3 linked regions of the Drosophila melanogaster genome follow. The protein of the gene in region 3 interacts with the protein of the main gene of each other region in a pairwise test. Each region holds a gene or a part of one and is shown on either strand. Other genes may lie near its edges. The genes, in order: Alh, Atf3 and CLIP-190.

Region 1 (6,350 bases), on a different chromosome or scaffold from region 3:
TAATTCCCCCACTTCCACCAGGCACGTTTCCAGCACTGCTGGTGGACGAACTGCCTCCGGGCAGATTATTGTTTAAACTATTGCTAATGTTGCCGATGTTGCTACTCCCTGGTAGTACACTTCCTCCTCCTGTCATATTGCTAGCACTTCCCGAATGCACAGAACTCGAGGAGGGGTTGGGAGCCCCTCCTGTTGAGGATGACGAGCTACTGCTACTGCTGCTAGATGATTTACTTGATGCATTGCTCTTGCGCTGCTTTGCGGAAGATGATACGCCACTCCCACTGCTGCTTCCAGCAGAGATTCCAGCACTGGAGCTTGCATTCAAAACATTGCTGCTGCCACCAGCACTGCCACTGCTGCTGGTAATCTTTATGATTGTGGCCGAAGTTGTCGCGGAGTTCATGGTTGAATCGATCTCCTTCTCGGGCGACGAACACGAATCGGAAGAGGTGTCATGTTGAATGGGTTTATATGGAGGTATTGTTTTGACGTTGCCGCCCTTTTTCTGCAAAGTATCAAGAATTTGAACGGAAAAATCACGAATGCTATCCCTCACATACGCACCAGTTTGCTGTAATGGTGCTGACAGTAGCCGCAGTACTTCACATTATCCAGATAGTTACCAGCCTCCTCGCAGAGCAATCCAAGGCTCTGGGCGCAGGTGACGTGGAACTGCTGCTTGCAATTCGATTTGTTGCACTGCATACAGGCGCCAACATTGGCACGATTTGGTTTGCCAATTTCCTGGCAAATATAGCAAGCTGAAAATGGAAACGGATTGTAATTAATTATTGCCATTTAGCTAAGGCTAGTTTAACAAACAGGGGTTATAATTTTTCAATGAGTAACATTTTTTAAATAATATATGTAAATATAAAACATTTAAACATAGCTTACTCTTCGAGTACCGCTCCTGCGGTATTAATGACAATATGATGGGCTCCATGGTGGTCACATTCCCAAATCGCACCTCTGGGATGTACAGGGCGCAAACAACGTGCGCCCACCCGCTATTATCCGTCTTCTTAAGGGCGCCATCCCGCGAGGGACATAGTTCGCATCGGACGCGAGAGGTTCGCTCCTGGGACTCGCACTTGCGACAGTACCAGGGTCCAGTGGGAACCGTCACAATGCCATAGCACGCCTGGTGCACTGCCACAGTACAGTTCTGGCCGTCACAGTAGACGAGCGGGTTCTCCGGCCACCCCCGCTCGTCTGAACAAACGCAACAGCCGCCCACCATCTCCTTCATATCGTCCAACTTGAACTTTTTAATCTTGACCAGCTTCTTGTTCAAGCTTGTGGAGTGAATGGTGTCGTCTTTGCTGGAGTCTAGCTCCAGTTTCGCATTGAATGAAGACGGAATTTTGTTGGAGCTGCAAGTATATATATATATATATATATATATATATATATATATATATATATATATATATATAATATAAGAATTTTCCTTAAGTAAAAAGAGGATTTTTAAAACTCAATATATTTGGGTCCAATTAACGTTACCAGAGGAGCGTTGAAAGTTGAGCGAAAAGTTGAACATACATAAGTATGATGCACTTACGAATCTTCTGAATTTTATTTGTAATAGTATTTCTAATAAAAACAACGACTTTTTACCAAATTTGTATGGAATTAGCAGTAAAATTTATAAGAAATTTATTTGTTCAGCTTTCCTTATCAAGAAAATAAGCATGCTCTTTACTTTTTTCTTTCACATTTTTGTAATAATTTAAAGAACGTAGAGTCTATATAAAACATTTTTTATCAGAGCTCCGCTCCACCCCGCTCGAAGTCGACGATCTTGAGATAGAGGTTCCGGCCTTTCTCGTTATCGATAATATGCTGCTATCGAGGCAGGTGTCTATTGGCAAGGTCATTCGCACTCGGTTTTTCCACAATAACATCAACAAAAACAGTAGCCCTATAAAATATTATACCTAATTGTGCGCTTGTATTTACAACTTGGCCTTCGAAGCGAGAGCGAGAGAGATGGCACATGGAGCCCCGTTCGCAGAACATTTACACGCACACACAAATAATCTCTCAATGTCAAGGTAATTTTGCCGCTGCTTAATAATACATGCTAATTATGTATGTCGAATCATTTAAATAAAGACGGCCGAAAATATAAACAGCTATGCCACCGAATATTGATAGGAGGTTTTAGCACAGCAATACGAACAACAAATATTTTTAACTTTCACAAAACGGGCAACGCACACACAAACACTCTCTTCTGCGGCATTCCGTGGGCTGGTGTTGGTTCATTGAACCTGATTTAAATGGGCTACCAAAAATAAAACAGGAAAATGCAGCCCTGCCCCGAATCCAATTGGATGTCGATTTGGTCCCAATGTGCGATCGAACGCAAATATGTGGGTCGCGGAGATTTCACAACAACAACGGCAATTATTATAATAATAATAATAACGGCATGCGGGTGCTGTTTCTGTTTCATTCATGCATGCGCATCTGTGCGAGAGATCGCGGCGGAGGAGAGTGCGGGTCTAGTTGTACCGTTATTGGGTCAGCGTGTTGCCAACTGCCGAAAAAGAAAAACGCAGCCAGCGTGTTGCCAACAGCGGGTTAGCTGGAGTTCTCTAACTTAACGGTGTAAAATCACACACACTTGGCCATATGAAACGAGGCCGCTCTGCACGTTGCTTTTGTAATGAAGAGCAATGCACTTTCGACACAAGCAAACACACACTGTCGTCAGGCAGAACAGATACATACACACGCACGCGGGGAGATGCTACATTAATGTTGACGAAATGCCGGAAAAGGGGGCGCGCTTTTGGGGGGTGGAATACGGGTGGGTGTGTGTACATGTATATATGTACCCCATTTAAAACATCCTTCGGGGGAGTTTTTGGGGACTGGAGGGTAGTTTCTCCCAGTTTCCGCAACTCGTCTCTTAAAGCACTGCTTAAATTTCCTTCAAATTGTGTGTATACCCGTGGCTTGAATTTATTGATTTTTATGGGCAATTGCTTTAATTTCACTGGCCAGCAGGGCTTTAAAACGTCATCAGCGGTGTGCCACCAAACAAAAAGAAACTAGTTTCACGGCGGGGAAAATGCGCGCGGTCAAAGTCGTCAAGCAACGCACAACAAAAACAGAAAATATCTATTTTTTTCAGGGAGCGGTCTATCGAAAACTTGAAATTCTTTCGACTTTCTTGCTATTTTCACGCAGAGGTTTCTTATTGGCCGCTAGCACCCTCACAGAATATTGATTTTCTAAATTTCTTTACCCAATTTGGCACTTTAAATAAATGGTTTCCAGCCCGCAGCTGTGGGTTAGCGTTTATCTAGCTTTTCGTGGCTTTTCTCAGCACTTTTCCGCGTCTCACAGTCTTCACAGCCGCCCACGAGTAGCAAACGCACGCAAGTAAAATAATCAACACTCAAAAAAGGCGCTGAACAACACCATCCACCAGCGCAACAACAACACTGTGTGCGCGAGTATTTACAACTACAGCTACAACAACACCAGCAGCACACACCACTCCACACACCTTGTAACTTGTTTGTTGTTGTTTCGCTCGCACATCGGGAGCGAGCAGTGCGGGCGCGAGAGGGAGACAACACCACCTGCTCTGTATACAAATGCAGCTTAGTGGATACAATTTTGCTGGATGCGCGGTTTTTCCAATTGCCCGAATATCGCGAAAAGCTTGCAATTCCGAGACGTTCCGCGTTTTCCTTCTATGCAGACAGGTTTTTGAGCATTTTAACGCCGAAACAAGAAAAACCTCGGTTACCAGACGAATGGGCAGATTTCTAGCGATGGGTACTTTATCAGAGAAGGGTAAAATGCTTAGAGATGGGATGCGACTTGTCTGCATTTTTCCAGATTCAAAGGAAAACCCGATATTCATTATAACTTCCCTCTCTTATTCAATGCTGCTAATTATGGTGTAAATGAAGGTTGTAATTTAAGTAAATCGAATTCTTATTGGTGTTGGATCATAGTATTGTCAACATTAATGCTCGTCATTTAAATAATGGAGATGTATAAGGAAATATTTTATATATAGAACACTAAAATACCTAATCCTTATAGTTCTTTTAGAATTCTCCATACTAAACAAATAAATAACGTCCGATGTTGCCAGACGAGTCAACGGCTCATCGCCACGGTTCATTTCCACGATATATATTGGGCAGTGTTGAATAACGTTTGAACCTTAAACAGCTGTGGGAAAAATCAATTTTGCAACTCCCTCGCGCACTTCTGAAGAAACTTCTTCGCGAGAAAAGCACGGATAAAAATGACCAACGGTGACTGCTTTGTTGTTCTGCCCGAGAACTGTGCCGAAGGAACTTTGATCATCGGTCGCAATGCGGAGGACGAAAAAAACGTCAACGTTGCTTCGGAGGTTTGCTTCTACGATGCCACCGAAGTGCTTGAGGGGAAGGTAAAGACAGACTCCTCCGAAAACGAAGCTCGATCAATGACTCACCACCCAAACACCTCACATTTCAGACTGACGGTGGAGCTTCTGCCGAGACAGGCGGCGATATGTTGCGTGTTATATTGCAAAAACCGCAGCCGGGTCTCTGGGGTGGGGACTTCGGGGCCAATGAACGCGGAGTGGCCCTAGGTCTTACCTGGGCGGCAGGTGAAAACGAGGCCAAGGACAGCGACAGCCTGCTGGGCACGGATATAGTGCGGTAAGTTCTCTTTCAATATCTGCGTATCAACAAACTATGCACAACAAAGCAAATTATTTGCACTTAATATAAATAACTTTCATCACTAAAAATGTATGTACATATGAAGTCTATATAATGCAGAACGTAAATACTTATTCAAAGGATGACATTTTGTGGCTGATGTTTGTAATTAGCATTCCAATCCTTTCGTGTCCTTTAGGGCTTATTAATGCTTGAAGATACTATTATTTCAACATTATTTCATAAGTTAATTAAAAACGAATCAATCAGAAATTTAATGTTGTCGAGAAACTAAGGCTTTTACAATTATTATAAATCATGAAATAATAAATCATCTAATAACTTTTTTGTAGCTTGACTTTGGCTGTCGCCAAAGATGTGGACGATGCTGTAGACCGGATTGGAGCTTTGGTGGCCAGTCACGGTCACGACAACTCCAAACTAAACTTCATCGCTTGCGATGCAGCTGCTGCCTGGCTTGTGAGTTGCTCTGGCAAGGTATGGGCCGCTGAGAAATTGGAGGCCAGCTTCTTGCGTTTGCCCTCCGGAGGACTGGCTGTGACCACTGTGGTGAACAAGTCAAGCGAGGGATTAGATGACGCTGCCAGTTTTGCCGCTGCTCACGATGCAGAGGCCCAGGCCCCGGCAGTGGATTGGTGTGGTCCCAAGCCAGCTGGCGATGGAACATATACCCAGCACGACATGTTCGAGACGCTGCGATCCGCCAGTAATGCGAGCAGCTCGAGGGCGGCTACCGTTTCGGTGCTGTCGGTGAAGGGAATCTCATGCCATTGGTTCACCGGGACGCCCAATGCCGCCGAGTCTGTGTTTAAGCCGTTCGTTTTTGCCCCAAATCCGAGGATCTCGCCGCTAACCCAAGTGCAAGCGGAAGCGGACTTGACGTTGCTGCACAAGCTACACTCGCAACGCAAGCCGGCCGCCTTGGAGCACTTGCGCAGCTTGGAGCTCTCCTGCGTGGACGAGCTAAATAACTATTTCTCTCTGCAGGATCACGCCAGTGACGAGCTGGACGAACTGCTCAAGGACTGTGTCGAGGCGGAAGTCAAGTTCTATCGCTAGACCAACGAATACTATCTATATGGATACTCCAAAAACTAGCTTGCAAGCTCTATTGAGCATCGGGATTTGACTTGAGCATTCTTATGGCATTACCAAATAGGCTTTAGTCGTCAAAATATTTTCTTGTGCAATCTCTACTGATTTTATTTCGTTTAGTTTTTATGCTTTTGCGTGATATTTAAATTATTATTTATTCTGTCTCAGTGGGCAATCTCCGACTTGAATTTAAAGTATTATTGTGTGACATTCCAGGCTTAGTTTAACGATTTACATACTTGCATTCAAATATATATGAATACATATACAAATATACATTATATATGGCTCTCAAATAAACGCATAAAATCTGCATTTATACAAAAATTAAAAGGGCTTGTCGTATTTGGATACTTATTTTAGGATTCCTTTTTTTTTTATTACAAAGTGATTTAGAAGCGAAATGAATTGATAATTTAAATTGAAAAATGACAAGATAATTATTTTATTTAGCCCCACTCTAAACATGTATTTACAAAAATGGTCAGCCTGATCTGATTCAATCAATTCCCAATATCGTCAGAGTTAGAAATTATTCAGATA
Region 2 (6,204 bases), on a different chromosome or scaffold from region 3:
CTGTGAAATAGTCTCTAACTCTAGTTATTCTAGTATTTTCTCTCTTTACTCTCCTGCTGCTTCTTTTTCGGTATCATTTGAAAAGAATTGTTATTTGTGAAGCTTTTACGGCTTCGCATTTTGGACTGTCGACAAGTTGACAAATGGCAAACCGGTTTGGCTTTTGGCCAAGCTCTAACTCCCATGCCCATCCGCTCCCATCCATCCCTCTCTCCCCAAAAGCAACTAACACTTATTTGGAACGAAGTAAATATATAAATAAATGTATAAATACTCGTTAGCAAATCAAAATGCATACGAAATTTCAACAAATATCCAAACGGGCGAAGAAAGCGCGTAGGCGAGCCGGCATCGAATCGGGAATTATATTGGGAATTGCGATTGAAAACGGGAATCGCAGCGAGGGCTAGACTCTAAGTGCGAGCATCAATTGGCTAATCAATTTGCCCAAAAGTGAATTGAACAAATTAAGCTGATTGCCAGTCGAATGCGACGAATGCGGGCCTCGCTGGTTACCACCCTTCATCCGACGATTACACGCCGGCATTTTCAGTTGCGTTCGGTTGGCTTGGGGCTACTGCGCATAGAACAACTACCTGATAGTTTCATGTACTTGGGAACAACTGGGAACAGTGCACCTGTGGAGCTGTCTGAACATCCTTATAGCAGCGTATGGAAGGGGGAATGGTCCACCTAGATTCCACCGGGTTCCATGGGGGCTTACTTGTTGATGCCATTCCCACACCTCCGTCCCTCATCAGTGCATGTTTGCTATATAGCATATATGTACATACATATAGTATTGGTCAAATCTGATGAAATGTTTACATTTGCCGCTTGCATTGCGCACTGCCAAACGAGGGGGACTCGAGGGGGTTCTCGTATTTGTATTTGCTTGCGGTGACAATTTTCATTGCTTTGGGAGCACACATGTGCTTGCATTCATACGTTTTTGTGGAAATTATTCACGAAAACGCCTGACAGTTTTGTGTCGCTCGCCGCAACTTTTGACAGCTACCTCCGCTCGCATCGAATGGATTTTGTATTCGTATTCGGGGATGGCAGCGACTGACTTGACTAGCTGAAAATTGGGATTGGGATGGCATGGATGGTACATATGTATATGCTATATGGTTGGCTGCTCGGCGGCTCCGTTTCGTTGGCTGGCAAGGCCATAAACTAAGCCCAACTCCCAGACTTCCAGCTTCAGTCCGGGGTTCATTAATGCGCACTATGTGCTTAAAACGCCATTTGGGCGTTAGCCGACTGTCTTTCCAGCTGTCTCTCTTTTGTGAACAGAAGTGGATCTCAGACACTCGGAAAAATGGCTCAAGGGCCAGAAGAAAACTGTGCATTCTTTTAGCTCTAAATGTGTTTAATTAAAAAACAAAATGCCTAATAACTTATTTCATCATTGTATGAAGTGAATACAAGATGAATACAATTAACAATAATAATACAAGGCCCATTGATTTTTTTTCAGTGATCACACATGTCCCAAACATCTTGGTTCTGTTTTTCTTTCATTTTTTTTTTCTTTTTTGGAACATTAGACCCCTCCCAGCCAGTTCCTCCTCCCCCTTTGACAGTTACTGTATCTACTGCGTCTTCGACTGTCGGCTGTTGTAGCGAACTGCCAACAATGGGCATCATTCATCGCTCATTCACTGGCACTCGCTCCGTGGCTCTGTGACTCTGTGGCACAGAGCGTGCACATTGTACGCACTGTACATGGGGCAGTCCTTTGGCACAACCCCCCATATCCAACGAGGGGGTTGCCCCAGACTGGGGTGTGGCATATTCCGCAATTCTATGGCATAAATTTGCTGGCGATAAAATGCGCAACTGGCAACACGATTTGGGATAAGTCCTTCGGATTGCGAGGCCAGAATTCCAAAGGGGTGGCGACTAGTCCGCCAGTACACCACTTGGCAGGGTGGGGCAGTAATGGCCGGGGTTGAACATAAAAAAAAACATTTATTAATGAATGCATCATGCAAGGGAGGGCGGCAAAATATTTCGCCAAATTGTCCATAAATCCAATTGGCGATGGCTGTATCTGTATCTATAGCATTTGGCTATCTGCGACTGCCTGTGCACGTGTGCGAATCTGTGTGCGCCTGCAGCACAGCAGCTGATTAATAAAAGCCAGCGAACGGATGAAAGAGGGAAAACACCTGTTAGCCCCAGTGCCTGTGTGCCTTCTTCGGTGAAATTGCTTGCACATTTTGTATTTAGCATTTGGATATTTGATTGAATATGTTTCACACTTTACCCACGCCTTATCTGGTCTACTAAAATGGGAAATAAAAACTCATGTCTGTGCTATCTATCATTCATTACAAACTAACATCTTCGGAGTTCAATCAATGAGTTGTCTTTTAGTGTGGTTATTAAGAAATGAATGATTCTACGCGCAACGAATACCTCGCTCGTATTTACTTTCATTATCAATAGAGCCAATGAATCGGTGAAATGCGAAATCCAAAACGATATGTGGGTACTTGAGTTGAGTATTCCCGACGAATGTATTCAGGTTCGTGGGGATTTCAATGGGTGTTACGTCTTCGCGAACTCCACCCTGACCAGCAAGGGACCTTTGGTCACTGTTCCCTCAATCGGGGAAACTTTTCTAGTCACGAGAGATGGCAATATCGTTTGGGGGATCGAAGACCTTGTTTGCTTGCGGTCAGTTTGCGATAGTGTGCGCAAATGTGTGAGGAAAGTCACGTACTTGGGGCAGGGTCGAGGTGGATAATTTAGGGTTCAGTGTCTCACCTGCTGGAAAATCTCTCTCTCGCTCCAAGAGCAGTTCTGCCCATCTGATTGTCGCTGGTGCGTTTCGTTGGCCTTTCGGCAGGCGGACACCTGTTTGGGCCTCCCTTGCTATCAGTTTTGAATGGGGTCTTTGCGAAAAGGGTGGGGGGACTTGTAACACTTGGTTTTGTACCACTAAAGCGTGATGCTTTTGCAAGGCATTTTGGTAGTTGTTGTTGTTGTTGTCGTTTAAAGCACTTAATGGGTTCAACACTTCAAAAAAATATTATTAAATCTCTTAGATTTTAAGGCGATATTAATTATATGTATTACTATGTACGTTTTTCTTCAATATCGCATTTAACACTTGCGTATCGCGGATTTTTTTTGGGGGGCTTAGTTTGTATTTTTAAGGGGGATTTTGTATTTTCGATTTGTGTTTTTGGTTTGTGTATTTCAGTTTTTAGTTTCCGCTGCGCATTTGTAGCGATTCAGAGTTGCTCACACGATGAATCCAACACGTTGAATAAAAGTTCGAGCGACGTTCAAATTCGCTTAAAGCCAATAAGTCAGCCAGCGGCAGCGACGTCGGCAGAGGAGCGACTGCGCCACAGTGCGATTCTAACGGCGCGAGAACGAAGAAACGGATGGCAACTGAAACGGCCAAAGGCGCGGCCGACCGACCGACCGTCGATGTGCTGTGCTTGTGCTTGTTGTTTGTGTTCTAAGTCGGAGCCGCCATAAAATCTAATAAGAACGGCAGTGCCAGTGTCAGTGGATGTGGATGTGGCTGTGCCTGTGAAACGGGGTGGAGCGGAAAAGGGTGGGTTGGTGGAGCGTCGGCTCGCTGTGGCGGCGTTGCGTTCGAGTCCGGTTGACGCGAAGCACTGCCAACCGACCGACGCGCCGTTTTGACGGCCCGACGGACCGGCGGAACGATTGGCAACGGGCTGCGGCAAACAAATAAACAAACGCACCACAAACATTGCCCAGGGGCGTTGTTACATCCACATGGTGAATGCTCAAGGGGGTATGGCCACGATATAAACTGATATATGTACACATTGCAACTACGATGAAATATTACTCAACAATTATACAGTTAAGATGAGTTATCCCTTACATCTGCAAGATACATTTGGATTGGACACCGACATCCGCCCAGCGTTCATAGATTCCACAGCAAGTGTACTAAATGTAAAACCCCTCATTATCGGACGCAACTGACTTTTGGAAGTGGAAACGGAACAGTAGCGTAGATATCCGAAAATTGAACGCGTATGTGTGCGAGTGCGAGTGTTTGGCTGCTCTACACTAGTCGGCTTTTGTCTGGAAGCAGAGCCGAAAGCAAAAGCCACAAAGCTTCGGCCAAGAAGGCAGAAGAATTTGGGTAGGTGGGGAAATTTGCGAAGCAACGACTACTTATCAAATGGTACATTTTGCCTTTGAGCCGGCGCATTGAGCAGGGAATCTTGTGACCGACCAGCCACTAAACACTAACCACCTCCCACGCCACCCATTTCACTGTCACTTGCGGAACGTTTGGAATCGGAATCGCTGTGCACACTCATGCACACTAGCATTTCAAATGCAGCGACGTCGACAGCGGCGCCGTGACCTTGAAAATGCTTATGTTCAGTCCTTCGCTCACTCTCTTTGGAGCTTAGAAGGCATGCGCAACCGACTGAGTTGCACGATCTGAAAACTGAGCTTGGCTTACACGATCGAAATAAATTTAAGGAGGCCTATAGCCACACATTTGTTAACATACTCGTATGTAATTGTTGCATAAAAGTCCACAGCTCATGGACTGTGATAAGGAAGCCACCGTTATCCGTTATCGGCTATCGGTTATCAGCTAACGGTGCATGAAAAGGTGGCAAAAGACAGACGTGACTAGCTCAACTTGGCCAAAAGGAAGAAGTGGAAGGGGTTGCAAGAAGGTGTAAGGCCATTTCTTAATATCCAATCGCCTTTGCAATGGAAATGTCCGATTGAGATTTAAGCACCGGCAAAAAACGCCGGCTACAATAGCACACGAAAACAATAACAAATGCTCAAGCTGCTGGCGAGAGAGAGAGAGAGAGAGGAAAAGAGAGAGTCCGATGGTGAGAGAGAGGGCACTGCCAACCGGCTGTGTTTATGTTTCATGTCATTCCGTTCCGTTCCTCACTCACTTTGTTTGTCCCACTCACGTTTCCACGCGACCGCCGAAAGAGCGGCGAAAAGCGAAAGCTTCGTGGCGCTTCGTGTGGACTCGTCCGCCTTCGGCCCCCTGAATGTACAGTGTGTTCTAAAAATAGAGCCTGACTCGCATCATACGCGGACCCCATTCGCCGACGATCTCGTCACCTGCTCGCCGATTGGCCAGCGGGCTCCAATAAAGCCAAAAGCAACAATAGCAAAAGCAATAGCAATAGCCACAACAGCTTTGAGAAAATACGAGTGTTGGAAGCAACACAGAAAAGTTCTATCTCGCCGTCGTCGCTGTTGGCATCTAATAGCGAATTTATAAAGGAATAAAATGAGCATTAAAAAGTGCCAAACGGCGCGGGCGAGCACATGGACGTCGGGTTGGTATTGCGGGGGTACTGGCAGGCATTGGGGTTCGGGCTCGCAACGGTGGTGCGGTGGCATATGGAAATTGATGCAGCATCTGCGCCGTCCGAAGCGTGCCAAAAATTGCCCCAATGAAAGTGCCTGGCGGAGCACAGTGGAGTTCGATCCAATAGGACTCTCTTTCGTGACCGAGCAAAACTAGGCATTAATAGCTTGTCCTTGAAATTTCCATAAAAGCGAACACATTCATAAATTTTACATTTGTTTCTACCAAGCCCATCCACACTGCTGCTAGTCACTTGCGCGCCATAGTACCCACCGGCCTCCGAGTGGACCGCACTTGTATGTACGTCCATACATATACATGCATATGTAGCTTTCCCACACCGAGTGGGCACAGCGAAGATTACAAGCGACGTTTCTGTGGCCGCTGTGCGCCTGTTCGCACCTCGCAACTGCAGTGGGAGAAGCTCAGCCATGTGCGTGTGTGGGTGTGCAGTCGGGCTTGGGGTTGGGGTTAGGTTCCCCGCTCATCCAACTCTCCCTGGACGACAATTTGAGTTGTCAGTTGTTGCTGCACTCGCATTTACAGCCAAAGCTTTGCCTTAATGAATTACTGAATTGTGTTATGTAAGGGAACAAGGAACGGGCCTTCTCGGGGAATCGACCCGGGTAACACCCAGTACATCCTCCGATAGGTCCAGTGAATCCCTTTCTGGGGTTCGTGTAGAGCAGAGGTTAATCACTTCCAGCGACTATTTCTGTGCGCTCTCTTCATTTGTATATATGTATGTACAAATGTAAATGCAAAATAGAATTAATCATTGCACACTAACAAAACCCATAAAAAATCAACTTAACAGCAATTAAGAGTGTCTAGGTCGCTGG
Region 3 (6,287 bases):
GTTTTGGAAAATTATTATTTTTTCTTTAAAGATGTTTGAAGTGGCTATTGAAAGATTCGATAAAGTTTTTAAACGCCGGGTTGTGTCTAATTATATATAAAGTTTACACGTAGGAAAACAATTTAAGAATTGCTTGACGAGATTGTAACAATGAATTCCAGAGACTAAATGCCAGTTAATCAGAATCAATTATCTTTAGATTCATCTATGAATCAGCTTTTAAGACAATGCACAAAAAAGCGCATTGAAATATTGAAACACGTATTTAATAAAATTTTCTAAACTATAACAAATACATAACTTATCAAATCGAATATGTATATATATTCCTTTTAAGAGAAGATACTGTTTTCTGTTGGCTGAAACCCGAGACGTTTTCAGCTTAAATATGCAACACGTGTCTTCAATTATAAAGATTTCAACGACTTAATGATGTGAAGTCAAATAAGTGAGACAAAAAGTGGTTAATCATAACATCAATATTGACTCTCCCACGGAGTCGGTGATGTAAACAGAACTGGGCTCAATCTAGAATCGAATGGAGTAATCCCCCGCCAGACGATGCTCATCCATTGGACGTCAATCCCGAACGCGTTTTCGATTCAATCTTAATGCGAAGACAAATGAGCTTTCCGTTTTTATGGGTGGGAGAGAGGCTCACTTCACTTTTGTTTCCGATCGAAACCAATAAAAGTGACATAAGCTCATCCACGAGCACCACGACCGCAATTTTCATATCAGATCGACTGAGAACGGAACCCGGCATCAAATGCGCAGCGCAAAAACACCTCAAAAGATCTGAGCTCACGAACAAGCTAGAAGATACGTTTTGAGTACGTTTTCTGTGTCATCGCCAGAACAAATTCAATTAGGGAACGACGACGTAGAGATAGATTGCCGGCCGGTCGCCAGGTTTTCTCGGTCGCATTTGAGCTGAGTAGATTTTCGCAGACTTTTGGCATTGAGTATGGCGGGCCAAATGACGGGTCTCTTGGCAGATAGTCAAACAGTCCGTTCCAGAATGCTAGGAGAGATTTTAGAAAGCTGATCTGGGCAGCGGATCAAGGCGCTCAGGCGCTTGGAACGGATTTGGTTTTAAGCAGCGCGTCGCATAAACTACTAATTGACTAAAGTAGTTCAACTATTTGGGACATGCGGTATATCACTTCGTTTTCGTTAATAATTGGCAAAATGCGGAATAATCTCTTTGATATGGCGATCAACACTGGCGTATTTGAAACAAATCAGCGTAGAAATTTAAATGTACTAAAGCAAAAAATTCGGAGCTATCAAAACAAACTGGACTTTCATTGAGCCAAGCAAACAGCTTAATTTCTGAAATAGGTTTAATAATTATGTGCAATAAACGACCAATAAACGATTTTAAAAATAATGTATAAATGGGCAAACAAACTAGTTACAAAACCAATCTAATACAAAGTGATAATCTAAATGATCACAGTGCACATAGCGCCGTGTAAACTATTTCTATGGATGCAAATTAAATACACCTCGTGACTCAGTTTTTTCTGTAACCCTAAACATTACAAATTTTTGTGTTTTTGGGTAAATTTACAGGGAATAAATTTCTACGATTTTGCGGTTGCATTGCGACTGTCAATCGGATATGGAACGTGTGTGCCGGCGAAATAGAAAACCCGTCAATCGATCCATGGATCGTTTGGCAGATCGTTTGCTATATGGGCCAGTGGGTCGTCGTATGTTGACGACTGCGGTGCGGTTACGTGCCTGAAATGAGCCACATTGGGCGGATCAATTAAATGGTAGCAGCACTTGCCTAATTGGCCATAATTCTCCTTACCAAAAACACTTTTCGGGGCAGCTCTATAATTATGATCGAGAGTTAAGAGTGGGCGGCAATTTGTTTTGTTTATTTTTGAATTGTGCGTTGGTGTTTCAAAACGATTAAATAATTGAAAGAAGTGAAGCATTTGTTTACCAAACGAAACAGTTGACGCTGGGAATTATTAATGGTTTCTCTTTAGAGAAGAATTTACACTAACTACGCGAGTTCTCGCCGAAATAATTGCAAGTTCAATGTAGTGCAAAAAGTGCACTCAAATGGGGTGGGGTCAGCGTATATGTATGTATATATTTAGCAAGTGAGTGGGTCTGTCATCGTTTCCATTAGATCATTGCATTCGCTTATAGTATACAGCAATCTACATCTTGTGGGTGCACATATATATATGTAGGCGGATGCTTGACTTGCTTGAGCCAAAGATGCAAACACAAAAGTAGTCAAATCTCGGGTATTGAGGGTAGAGAGTAAGTAAACTTGATGAAATGACCCCTTTACAATGTCAAACTTAAAAGTGCATTATTTAAACTCACCATTCTTTTTGGGTTTCTGTTTTCCCATTTGAATGTGGGTACATTTTTTAATATTAACCTTCATGAGTACTTGGTGATAGTATAGTGGTGGGCTATACTATTGAAACATATTTTACTGCGATATTTTCCGGAGAGCAATTCAATTATCAGACTTCTTCCAACTGTTTTATAAGTGAAGAACTCGCGTATAAAAGTGGAAATCGGTAAAAACCCCTTTTCTTGAATTGTGAAATTAATGTTCTTTGTTAAGATGTTAATATGTATGTGACAATGCACTGACAAGATTTTCAAAGGGGCTCTGGTTGAATTCCCATTGGTGTTCAGATGTGTTTTAATTTCATCTTGCTTTAAATTCTAGCTTGTAAAATGGATGATAATTAAACCCAGGGGATAATTAAGACCTTTAACTACTTTCAAAAATACTGCTCTTAGTAACATATTTGCTTTGAGCAATAATACTAACTGGTTTGCGTTGTTGCACAATGCGATTAGACTTACCTCTTGGTGGTGGACCGGATTTGGGAGTTGTGTGATTGCAGCACGGTCTTCCGATTTTGGAAACAGAACCCGTCGATCCAAAACTAGATGGTGCCTTCATTTTGCTGGGCTGCGGGATTCCGGTACCAGAAGTAGCGGGCGTGGGAATATTGGATCTGATGGGACCCGGTAATTTGGAGGCAGTGGCTCCTGGTTCCGGGTCCGCAGTAACTGGCGATGGAAAAGGGGCACTTGTCCCGCCCGAAGCGCTCGTATCATCACTCATTTTTTACTTTATTCTTAATAATCTTCACTTATTAGGACACACGCGTATTAAAAGTAAACGATTTAAAAAACTTGGGGGAAAAACAAGTGCAAAAGAATAATTTTTGGTAAAATAAATGGAATGCTGATCACTTACCTTAACAAATATATGTATAATTCGCTTAATTTGCTTTTATTTTATATTTTTGCTACAAAAATAAATGGATTTTTTTTATTTTTAGCTAGGTTTTGAACCACTGTTCCACTTTTGTTGTTGCTTTATTTTGGCGCGCAGGCAGCTATCTCACTCGCACTTAGGCGGCTGCTTTAAAACAGCTGACTGAGAGCAGATTTCTTTTCTTCTTTTTTTCGTTGAGCTTGAAAAACAAACAAGACCGCTTTTTGTTGTTGCTCTCGTTGGCCAGAACTTCGTTATATTTTCAAAAAATGCGGAACACAAATATGTATTGAATTAATTTTATGCGACTAACAAAATCACTCAAGGGTATTCTATTTATATAAATTCGTAACTTTTTATTTATAATTTTGTGTTGGGCTGCTTGCGCTGATATTCATCAGACTTAAACAAGATTAAATTGAATCAAATTGCTTATCAATTTGTGCATTTCACACACACACACACGCACGCTGTAGCTCTGTTCTATATTTTATTGTTGCTGCTGATTTGACACAGTTATAGAAGAGGGAACCATTAGAAGAGGGTGGGAAAAGGGACGCGAAAACGCACTCTTATTGGTGTGTGTTTACCGCACACACACACAGTACTTAAATAAACTGGAGTGCTTTACATACTGTGCTGTGCGAATACGATTTAGAAATATACGCGATTGGGATTTTACAATTTTACACAAATTTTAGATTTTTTTTGCACTTAGTTGGCGTTGCGTTGGAATTTTGTTGTTGCACTGAGTTAGCGATGGTAGCACAGCTCCAGTGCAGCGCGCCAATCGATAGTTGCGGCTATATTTTCCCGAGGTATTTTTAGAGTAATGCGGTCATACAAAAACACCCTGTAGGAAATTGGCGAATATTTATTCGTGAATATAAATATGTAAAATATGAAATTATGTCACCAATAATGGAAGCGTCGCTGAGCTTATTCAGATTTGTGATCTGAGCCCACACAACTGACAAATTAACGAATTTATAATTTAGTCTAACATGGTTTTTTAATATTCAACCAGTTTATTGCCGGGTTCCAATACCAGGTTACCTGGTCATTTGTTCATTTTTTCTTTAAGTAGTTATATGAAATGTTTCGGTGTAATAACGACTCAGTAATCTAATAATGCCCTAAATTTGAAGGGGCAAATGCTAAACGGTAGATCATTCTGAATAAACAAACATTACATTACATTATAAAATGTAAGATTGTTGACATTTCGAATTGCGATAAAAATGGAGCCAGTGTATCATCGGCGCACTGTGGTATTTTATCGATAGTACTCAAAGGCACGCCGATTTTAAACTAACAGCAACGTTTCCAGCGCTGCCCAAGTAGCATCCCATAAACCGATTCAGTTGTTTTTCGATTTTCGTTGTGCACTGTCGCTCGTCTGCTGCGTGAGCTTGTGCGTGTGTGAGTGCGCGTGTGTGCGAGGAGGCAAAGAAGAGGAAGCAAGAAGGAAGCCGCAAAAGGAAAATCCAATTCCGAGAAATCTTATCAATGAGCCAAGAAGACGTACACTAAATGAAAAATAATCGAGATGCGTGCGTTTCAATAGAGCAAATTTAGTTTCCAGTTTCGGTTTCTTTCGGCACTTCACTCCGTTTCCTTATCGGTGTGATAGTTTAGCGCGTGCGTGTGTGTGTGCAAGTGTGTGGAAGTGTCGCCACGCCTACACGGGAAATGGCAGCAACGGTTTACCAACGCCTACATAGCGTCGCAGTCGGCGTCGGCAGCGCCGCTGGCAGCGCCATCGGCAGCGGGTCGGCTTCCCTTCCAGGATCTGGAACAGGATCGGGATCTGGAATAGGCCACGCTGGAAACACCTCCTCCTCCACCTCGTCTGCCCTGCTTAGTCATTCCCAGCTGACGCGCTCCCTGGAAAGAATCCTGGAAGAAGCGCACTTCAGCGGCGAACTGATCCTGACCAATCGCAAGCTGAAGGACTTTCCCAGGACTGGAACGAAGTACTCACTTACCGACACTGTCATCGCAGGTGCGTACCGCTATTGTATAGTGTATATTCGTAAGGGAGAACAAAGAAAAGGTGTTCTTCAAGCCGGTTTCGTAGCTCCGGAAAAAATTGGGTTTTCATTACTTCCTAAGTAAAGTTTAAACTGTTCTTAATAATACTTAATGTACGAAGTTAATAACATTTTATTGGAAAAAGCATACATTTTTATATTACAAAGTTAAATGGTATTAAAGTTGATTAGAAAATTGTTAGTTATAAAGTTTTCTTTTGACGTCAGAAAAAGTAAAAGTAGAGTTTACATATGTACAAGTACTGATAAAGCAATTAAATTAGTTGCTTATCGAAAATGTTTGGCGTATGTGTATACCTTTAGGGTGCGGCATTTAAGCAAAGGAGGTTTGTTGCCGGTGAGCTAACGAAGTTTTTCCATCTCCATTGCAGTGGCGAATTTTCCTTTTGTTGCTTGAAAATCAATAATTTGCAGCAGCCGTCGGAGGTTCATCCTTTTCCTCCTTTTCTGTCCTCCCATCAGCTGCTCTTTCTCTCTGCGGCTCTCCCATTCTCTCCCTTTTCGGACTGCGCTCAAGGACAATAATTACCGCCGTTATTCGCTCTTCGCCACTTTGCACTATTCGTGTTATCCTTATTTATTTTTATTTTCGCCGCAGCCGGCACGAAAATTTTGTCGAAGTTCAACCAACTTTCGTTTTTGTTAGGACCAAAAAATATGCACCAGCGGAGAAATAGTAAATGGGAAATACCCACCCAGAAAATTCACCGCCCTCTCGCAGGACCCCGCCCCCTCTCACAGCTGCTGCTACCCTCGAACAGATGTTCTCACAACGGGACATGTCTCTCATCGATTTTCACTTGTGTTTGTTGTATACACATACAGTAAACGCTCTGAAAGGCGAAAGGATACGTAGATAAGGTTAGTTGTCATTCTAATCGCTGAAAAAGCGAGATATGGCAATTTTCCATCTAACAATACTTCACAGATCGAAGATTATGTTCATTGAAACGAGACAG

What was found.
Region 1: the proteins of CLIP-190 (region 3) and Alh interact in a two-hybrid assay, tested with the Drosophila melanogaster proteins (one large-scale study listed by BioGRID).
Region 2: the proteins of CLIP-190 (region 3) and Atf3 interact in a two-hybrid assay, tested with the Drosophila melanogaster proteins (one large-scale study listed by BioGRID).

The regions. Positions count from the first base shown.
Region 1 is NT_033777.3:7,120,375-7,126,724, forward strand, and holds the start of Alh (alhambra), read right to left. Parts: upstream 3,812-6,350; 5' UTR 3,565-3,811; coding exon 3,530-3,564; intron 3,365-3,529; exon of another isoform or gene 3,266-3,364; intron 1,380-3,265; coding exon 901-1,379; intron 765-900; coding exon 568-764; intron 509-567; coding exon 1-508. Other genes in the region: CG10098 (uncharacterized protein), read left to right, coding at 4,286-4,432, 4,501-4,688, 5,045-5,771.
Region 2 is NC_004354.4:1,271,648-1,277,851, forward strand, and holds the start of Atf3 (activating transcription factor 3), read right to left. Parts: upstream 3,638-6,204; 5' UTR 2,779-3,637; intron 1-2,778. UniProt on the Drosophila melanogaster protein: Transcription factor which binds to the cAMP response element (CRE).
Region 3 is NT_033779.5:17,382,462-17,388,748, reverse strand, and holds the start of CLIP-190 (cytoplasmic linker protein 190), read right to left. Parts: upstream 3,735-6,287; 5' UTR 3,254-3,734; intron 3,189-3,253; 5' UTR 3,119-3,188; coding exon 2,854-3,118; intron 2,604-2,853; exon of another isoform or gene 2,420-2,603; coding exon of another isoform or gene 2,356-2,419; intron 1-2,355. Other genes in the region: Lrch (Leucine-rich-repeats and calponin homology domain protein), read left to right, coding at 4,967-5,279. UniProt on the Drosophila melanogaster protein: Together CLIP-190 and jar may coordinate the interaction between the actin and microtubule cytoskeleton. May link endocytic vesicles to microtubules. May play a role in formation of furrows during cellularization.